Nothobranchius furzeri: one gene and its partner. The protein of the gene in region 1 interacts with the protein of each later gene in a pairwise test. Links are inferred from orthologs where the notes say so. Each region holds a gene or a part of one and is shown in the gene's direction. Other genes may lie near its edges.

Region 1 (4,116 bases):
CAGATGATCCGTCACCTTTGACCTTTAGCCTGGTGCTGCACAACCAGTAGGCTTTGGTCACTGGACCTCAGGGACCTGCTGGGGGTGTAGGGACTAAGAAGATCACCAATGTAAGATGGTGCTTGTCCATGTAAGGCCCTATAGACCAGAACCAGGATCTTGAAATGAACCCTGAAGTTGACTGGCAGCCAGTGAAGCTGGAGGAGAAGCGGGGTCCTGAGGCTGCTGATCAGAGCGCCACTGTGCATGTAGGGAAATTCAGGTGAGGTGAGCAACGGATAATTTTAAACAAATCATAATTTTATGCCAACAAATGCAAAAAATAAAACATCAGCCGTGTAATGAAGGTGCATGTTGCAGAGACCTGGACCTGCCTGCAGCTGTCTCACGCCCACAGGGCTGGTCGTTGGCCTGGTAAATAACAAGATGTCACCAAATCTAAATGGTAAATGGCCTGTATTTGATATAGCGCCTTCTAGAGTCACCCCTAGAAAGTTGTGATTGTTGGTCCTCTCTTCACTGTAGCCAGACCCAGGACGGTGTTATCGTCGGCACCTTTGATCACGACGGTGTTGTTCTGGCTGGAGACACAGTTGTGTGTCCACAGAGTTATGTTATGTCAGAATAATGGACAACCCCGAGCATCCTTTTCATGGCACCATCATGCAACAACAGAGCATCTTCAGCTGGAGGCTTCTTCAGACCTGCTGTAACACAGGAGATCCTTCCCGACAGTGGTCATGCTCGTCCTCATACAACTGTGTTTGGGTGAACAATTGAAGGTCCTAAATTTAAAATTTAAAAAGTTTCAATTGGAAAGCTGTCATTTGTATCTGCCTTTGTTGCTATTCTACCTGCAGAAGCATCAGTGAGACATCTGTCTCCTCAGTGTATGTTTCCTGTTTGTGGAAACATATCAGAGTGAGACATCTGTCTCCTCAGTGTATGTTTCCTGTTTGTGGAAACATATCAGAGTGAGACATCTGTCTCCTCAGTGTATGTTTCCTGTTTGTGGAAACAGACCAGAGTGAGACATCTGTCTCCGCTGGAAACAGAACATAGTGAGACATCTGTCTAGATCATGTGACTTCTCTAGCCTACCTTTTGGGATTTTATGTTTACATATATTTATATTTTAAGCATCATGCAATACTATATGTCTGAAGTTGAGGGGAAAAAACATAAGAAAATGTGTTTTTAGTTGGACAAGCACCTTCCTCGGGTGGAAACAAAAGCACTGGGGCGAATGGGGACCCATCCAAGATGGTGGTCCGCCTCTACGCTATTCTGTGGTCTCTTTCCTGGTTGTGGAAACAGATCAAAGTGACACATCCCTCTCATGCCACTCCTAGCTGCTCTCCTCTCTGCTAGCTAGCTGCTCTGTCTCCCGTTAGCCTAGCCTGCTAGCTGGCAGCCCGGTAAACATGGCGATGTCGCAGGCTCTATCCGAGGAGGAGTTTCACCGGATGCAGGTAAGATGGAGGCTGCTCTTTTAACCCAGCTCGTTCAGGTGCAGATAGCTGAAACACCTGCGCCGCTGTCAGGTGCGGCACCCTGTTCATTAGCTCTGAAGTAGGAGCAGTTTAACGGTGTCCGGTATCGGTTCGGTGTCAGTCCAGCTGCGGCATCAGGCTCAGTGAAGGAGTGAGGACAGGTTGGGTCAGCCGAACAAACCGGTTTTATTAACGGTCGTTAGCTTTCTGTTGCTAACCGTTATTCTTGTTAGCTTTCACTGGGCTCGTGATGACGGTCACGGGAGGGTGTGTGTGTGTGTGGGGGGGTGGGTGGGGGTGGGGTGGGGGGGGTCCTGTCTCCGGGGAGGACCACAGGGATCAGCAGGTGTTACAGGTGTGTTGGCGTCCCCTGTAACTTGGTGCTGATCTGTCAGTGCATGAGATGTTCAAGTATCCAATGAGCTAAATGATATGACGTCATCCTGTGTTAGGCATCTAGTCAACACCGCGAGTCCCTGAGAGGAAGCAAGTGGTTCCACGTATTCAGCAGGATGACGGTTCAGAAGGTTCTGGACCTGGTCTGAAACCAGACGGGTCCATCAGAGGATCCGGGGTCTACATGGACCTGAGTTTCACTCAGTAGAAGCAAATCATGTTCTCCAGGTCCAAAAACTGCAGCTGTTCTGTGCTGGTTGTCATGGTTACAGAGGTCATTACTGAGGTTTATATCACATCTGTTGATGCTCCCAGGTGCACCAGAACCTCTTCAGTCTGCGTGATTTGTTTGATTCATATCAAATGTTTTTAATCCATTAATTAATTAATTAATTAATTAATGCATTCATTCATTCATTTAGATGAACCAGCAGGCGGATGTTTGTTGTTGTTTGTTTCAGACGCAGCTTTGTGTGTTTTACTCTGCAGGCTCAGCTGCTGGAGCTTCGGACGCAGAACTACCAGCTGTCAGATGATCTCAGGAAGACCACGGCTGGTAAGAACCTGCTGAATGTTCAGATGTGTCACCAGAACTCGTGGGATGTGGTTAGAAGGTCTGGTTGCGTTTCAGAGCTCAGCGTCGTTCGTCAGAAGAATGGGAATCTGGAGCGAGACCTGATCAAAGCCCAGAAGGTGACCAGTTCTTATTGACGAGTGATCTTTGGTCTGATCTGCTGGATTTGAACCTTCTTCATCTCTTGATCTTTACATTTGTTTCTTCTTCAGGCTTTGAGTAAGAGCAAAAAAGCTCAGGTAAGTTCCACCTGGTTGGTTGTGGATCTCGGCTGGGCAGTAGGTGGTCCTACCTGTTCAGGTGGATCTGAGTCTGGTCAGACAAGATTTAATCAGCCAGAGCTCCAGAACAGAAGTTCCTCTGGTTTGTGTTTCAGGAGGTGGATGCTCTTCTCAGTGAGAACCAGATGCTGCAGGGAAAGCTGCTGAGTCAGGAGGATGACTTCAGGCTGCAGAACACCACGCTGATGACAGAGCTGTCCAAGGTGCGTCTCTGTGTGTCCTGACGTGTCTTCAGGTCTCGCATGTTCTTAACATTGTCGTTCTTCTAGCTCTGCACGCAGATTGAGCAGCTAGAGCAGGAGAACCAGCTTCTGAAGGAAGAAGGCGGAGCCTCTGCGCCCAGCCGACATCCTAGCTCCTCCTCCACCTCTGTAAATGGAGAACAGCTCCGCCTCCAGGCTGAAAACTCCACCCTACAGAAGAAGTTGAAGGGTGAGTCAGACTTCAACAGATCCCGGACCTGGTTTAATGTGTTCTCCCAGCAGGACACGACCTGGGGACATGTACGTAGGACCTGGGGACATGAACGTAGGACCTGGGGACATGAAAGCAAGACCTGGGGACATGAAAACAAGACCTGGGGACATGAACGTAGGACCTGGGGACATGAAAACAAGACCTGGGGACATGAACGTAGGACCTGGGGACATGAACGTAGGACCTGGGGACATGAAAACAAGACCTGGGGACATGAACGTAGGACCTGGGGACATGAACGTAGGACCTGGGGACATGAAAACAAGACCTGGGGACATGAACGTAGGACCTGGGGACATGAACGTAGGACCTGGGGACATGAAAACAAGACCTGGGGACATGAACGTAGGACCTGGGGACATGAACGTAGGACCTAGGGACATGAACGTAGGACCTGGGGACATGAACGTAGGACCTGGGGACATGAAAACAAGACATGGGGACATGAACGTAGGACCTGGGGACATGAAAACAAGACCTGGGGACATGAACGTAGGACCTGGGGACATGAACGTAGGACCTAGGGACATGAACGTAGGACCTGGGGACATGAAAACAAGACCTGGGGACATGAACGTAGGACCTGGGGACATGAACATAGGACCTGGGGACATGAACGTAGAACCTGGGGACATGAACGTAGGACCTAGGGACATGAATACAGGACATGACTTGGGGACATGAATGCAGGACATGACTTGGGTACATGAACGCAGGACATGACTTGGGGACATGAATGCAGGACATGACTTGGGGACATGAATACAGGACATGACTTGGGGACATGAATACAGGACATGACTTGGGGACATGAATGCAGGACATGACTTGGGGACATGAATGCAGGACATGACTTGGGGACATGAATGCAGGACATGACTTGGGGACATGAACG
Region 2 (4,105 bases), on another chromosome or scaffold:
ACATCAGGTAAACTATTCCTGAAAGTCACAGTGCTTAAGAAATATAAATCTATCCTGGAAAAACCTGACAAAGGACCATGAAAGTAGTTGTTTACAAAAGACTTGAGTGTTTCCTCTGTACCCAAATCAGTGAAAATGAATGGAGGGCAACCAAAACCTGAAATGCAATACAGCTGCATCATCAACTTTAGAGGCATTAACCTCTAGAATAATAGGGTTCAAACCCTCTGGCTTGAGCATCACTTCTAAAAAATGAAAGTTTATAGAAACTACTGTACATATTAGACAAGACCATTTCCCTGACAAGGTAGGATTAAAAGACTCGTGTGTTGTTTGCCAGTTCAGGGTTACTTCATACATTTTTTATTTTAAATGAGCCACTGCAAAACATGATTTATGAGTGATATAATAATTCATTACCTGTAAACAACTCACGTGTACAAAACGTGTTATTTTAGGAAAAACAAGTATAAGTTTCATTAGATATAAAATAAAAGTAGAACTTAAAATAGAGAAATTAGCAAATAATGCATTTTGAGGTTACGTTTCGTTTTTATACGAGTCAAATTACACAGGCGACTTTTCAACAACTGAAAGGTAAATTGAATAAACTGAGCACACATGAAAACAAAGAATGGACGCTAATACGGCTAACGGGGTCATTCGTGGACACAGGCTGAAGCATGAAGCAGTTTAAGGAGTGTGAATGTCACCTTTAAAGATTGCGCTCCTGGGGTGGCAGGATTACTATCGCAAGGTGGTCTAATGGGGAGCACAGTAGCCATATTTCGACAAAATAATGTTCCGCAGCTAGGCTAGTTCACTAGCTTGAGTCTGCGTTTCTTCTTCTATGGTAAAGCCTTCGGTTTAGAAAGCGAACTCTCCTGGCCTGGATCGGTGATAGAGGTGAAAAACGTTTTACTTTTAAATACCAAATATTCCGATCATGTATTAAAATCATGTGAAATCGGTTTTGGTCCTTTAACGCAAGGTTATCACAGCAGAACAATTTTTAAAATAGTTGTCTAGCTGCAGTCAGCCAATCACAGTGACCACTACTGCCGCCTACTGGTCAATACTTGCACGTATAATCCTTCAAGTTGACAACAATAATAAGTAATATATCTGGTCACTAATTATTACAATGTGGATGTTTCTTATTTGTGATTATTTTTTACATCTATAATAAATCATGATTTTAACGTTTCTGGAGACTTAATAACAGCTCCATAGTGAGGCGAAAACTATATAGTGCATCACAGTGTCGGTCATGGAAGGACTTTTACTTTGAAAGGAAGAACCTACGGGAAGTCGGAAGGAAAAATCAGCTGGAATGCACGGAAATTATCACTGGTGTATTCCTTTACTGAGCTAGCTGTGCATCTGTCAACTTTTATTCCTCCCTTCATTTTGCTTTTGGAATCAAACCGCCACATTGGCGATGTCGGAGTCTTACGGTAAGGAGTCTGCTTTAAACCGAGGCAACAGTTAACGGGTGCCTTCTGGTAGTCAGTGGTAAAGACGAGGCAGGTGTGCCCAGAAGGCGTTTTCTCATCGCAAAAAGATAGCCGACAGGCTAACCGTTTCACCACTCAAGGCTTCTGGCCTTAAAGCAGAGCTGTCAGTCAACTCAGATCATACATCTGGGTTTGATGTAGCTTTTCACACTGAATGTAACGGAGCTTTTGGGATTCTAATCAGAAGAACCGCTAGATACCAGGTAGGGGTAAAGAGGAGGACAGGGCTGGCATAAATTTGAGGCTGAACTGTTCAACTTTTTAAATAAATAACCATTTAATGCTCTCTTTATGTGTATATTTTACATTTGGATCATTCTAAATCTCACAGTAAAATATTATTGCAGCATACAAAATGAGTTGTTTACACCATAAACACAATGAACAAACCTGTGGTTAGTAAGCAGGTGTCCCTGCCTTTATAAACAAACCATCAGGTATTCATGTGTAATATATATCAGCTGGTTTATATCTCAGTTATAAAATAATCTTGATTCAAATAAGATTAGGATTAAGATGAGCTAGTGCCTATGAATGCCACATTAAGAGGGTCAAGCTGAGCTTATGTCTATTAAATGATTGTATTGTTCCCCTTGTAGATTTCCTGTTTAAATTCCTGGTAATTGGGAATGCTGGGACAGGAAAATCCTGTCTGCTGCACCAGTTCATAGAGAAAAGATGTAAGTTCTCTATTATTTCCACTTCTTTCACATTTTTTTTTTTGTGATTGATCATCTAAATGCCTGGCTAATTATTCAGGTTGATCATTTATTGTTTTGAGAAAAATCCACATTGGCTGTGTTTTATTTAGTGTTGGTGTAGTTTGTATGGAACAGTGGTTTTGATTTCTAAATTTAGATTTAATTTGCATTAGGCGGACTACACACTCACTCACGCACACATACTGTACAACAGGTCTGCTCGTGTAAAGTGACTAACATTGCATAACAGTACTTAAATGTCTGTTACATTTCTGAACATTTAGAATAAATCTCACACATTTGACACTTGTACAGAATAATTCTCTAGTTTTGTTTCTAATCCTGATTTATACATCCATTTTTTTCATCTATCCATTTATTGTTTCCAGTTAAAGATGAATCCAACCACACGATCGGAGTGGAGTTTGGCTCTAAGATCATCAGTGTGGTCAACAAAACAGTCAAACTGCAGATCTGGGACACAGCAGGACAAGAACGCTTTAGGTAGGGCAAAATCCCATCATTACTACATGTGGTATTTCATTTTTATAACAACTTCTGTACAAAATTAACCTTTTTTTGAATTGCTGATATCTTAAGTGAAGTATGTAGCATTTTTGTCTCGTTTGTGCATTGCTGGTGGCAAATTTAGCTCTACGGAAACTGTGTGTGTCTCAGGTCTGTGACCAGGAGCTACTACAGAGGCGCAGCGGGGGCCCTGCTTGTCTACGACATCACCAGGTATCACAGAACTCGGCTTTAGTTGTTGGTTTTCTAACTGTGCTCCAGACTTTAATCCGTGTCTGTCGCCGGCTGCAGTCGTGAAACGTACAACGCTCTGACCACGTGGCTGAGCGATGCCAGGATGTTAGCCAGTCAAAACATTGTCATCATCCTCTGCGGCAACAAGAAGGACCTGGATGCTGACAGGGAGGTCACGTTCCTGGAGGCGTCGCGCTTCGCTCAGGAGAACGGTGAGATCCACCAGAAGCGCCTCTGTTTCTTTGCCTTTTTCGAGCCACACACTGATTGTTTTTTTCTACAAAGAACTGTCAGTTGCTTCTGCTCTAATCAAAACATGTCTGTTAGAGCTGATGTTCCTGGAGACCAGCGCTCTCACGGGGGAGAACGTTGAAGAGGCTTTTGTCCAGTGCGCTCGGAAGATCCTCAACAAGATAGAATCAGGTAGGAGCTTGCTTAATAACCCTAAAAAGCTATTCCAGATCCCCTTTAGGTGCTCATCTGTTCACTGATCATATCTCGGGTTTTAGGAGAATTGGACCCAGAAAGGATGGGGTCAGGTATCCAGTATGGCGACGCCGCGTTACGACAGCTTCGTTCTCCTCGCCGCGCTCAGCCACAGGGCACACAGGAGTGTGGCTGCTAAGGGGCCTCGTGCATCTCACGCAGTCAAGGTACAGGAAAAAAATGTGAAGCGTTGGATGGTTTAGAGCCGTGCTCGATGGTCTCAGCAACATCTCTGACGTGATGTTTTTGTTACATAACAGAAACATCAAAAGTTGCATCTTTTATTGAAAAGTATTTGCTTTTTTATTATGTTGCTTTAAATTTCTTTATGTAATGACAGGGTTTTTTTTTTTTTTGAAGAGAAGAAGAAGAAGGACCATGGAGGACCAGACAGTGTTGGGTTCAGGTTGCTGTGCTGGTGACCCCTCCCTGACCTTTGCACGGACCCTTCAGAGCCTTTGTTATCACGTGTGCATGAGCAGAGAGCCGAGAAGACCTACGCCCAACTTCACAAGAACTTGAATCTCCATGGTAACCACAAACTCATCCGTCTCTGGCTCTACTGGACCACATTGTCCCTGACCAGGATGCCTAACCCTAGCCTGCATTATTATTATTATTACTACTTCTGTAATAGTT

What was found. The genes of interacting proteins can lie anywhere in the genome.
Region 2: the proteins of gripap1 (region 1) and rab4a interact in binary tests that used the Homo sapiens proteins (3 or more experiments, as listed by UniProt). The link is inferred for Nothobranchius furzeri from reciprocal best matches to the Homo sapiens genes GRIPAP1 and RAB4A.

What each region holds. Positions count from the first base shown.
Region 1 is NC_091755.1:47,276,106-47,280,221, reverse strand, and holds the start of gripap1 (GRIP1-associated protein 1), read left to right. Parts: upstream 1-1,316; 5' UTR 1,317-1,424; coding exon 1,425-1,472; intron 1,473-2,378; coding exon 2,379-2,445; intron 2,446-2,520; coding exon 2,521-2,582; intron 2,583-2,675; coding exon 2,676-2,702; intron 2,703-2,839; coding exon 2,840-2,947; intron 2,948-3,013; coding exon 3,014-3,176; intron 3,177-4,116. UniProt on the Homo sapiens protein: Regulates the endosomal recycling back to the neuronal plasma membrane, possibly by connecting early and late recycling endosomal domains and promoting segregation of recycling endosomes from early endosomal membranes.
Region 2 is NC_091749.1:34,752,852-34,756,956, forward strand, and holds the start of rab4a (ras-related protein Rab-4A), read left to right. Parts: upstream 1-1,305; 5' UTR 1,306-1,441; coding exon 1,442-1,457; intron 1,458-2,116; coding exon 2,117-2,197; intron 2,198-2,607; coding exon 2,608-2,722; intron 2,723-2,896; coding exon 2,897-2,959; intron 2,960-3,037; coding exon 3,038-3,192; intron 3,193-3,307; coding exon 3,308-3,403; intron 3,404-3,489; coding exon 3,490-3,605; 3' UTR 3,606-3,633; intron 3,634-3,806; exon of another isoform or gene 3,807-3,826; 3' UTR 3,827-4,105. Other genes in the region: phf10 (PHD finger protein 10), read right to left, coding at 714-785. UniProt on the Homo sapiens protein: The small GTPases Rab are key regulators of intracellular membrane trafficking, from the formation of transport vesicles to their fusion with membranes.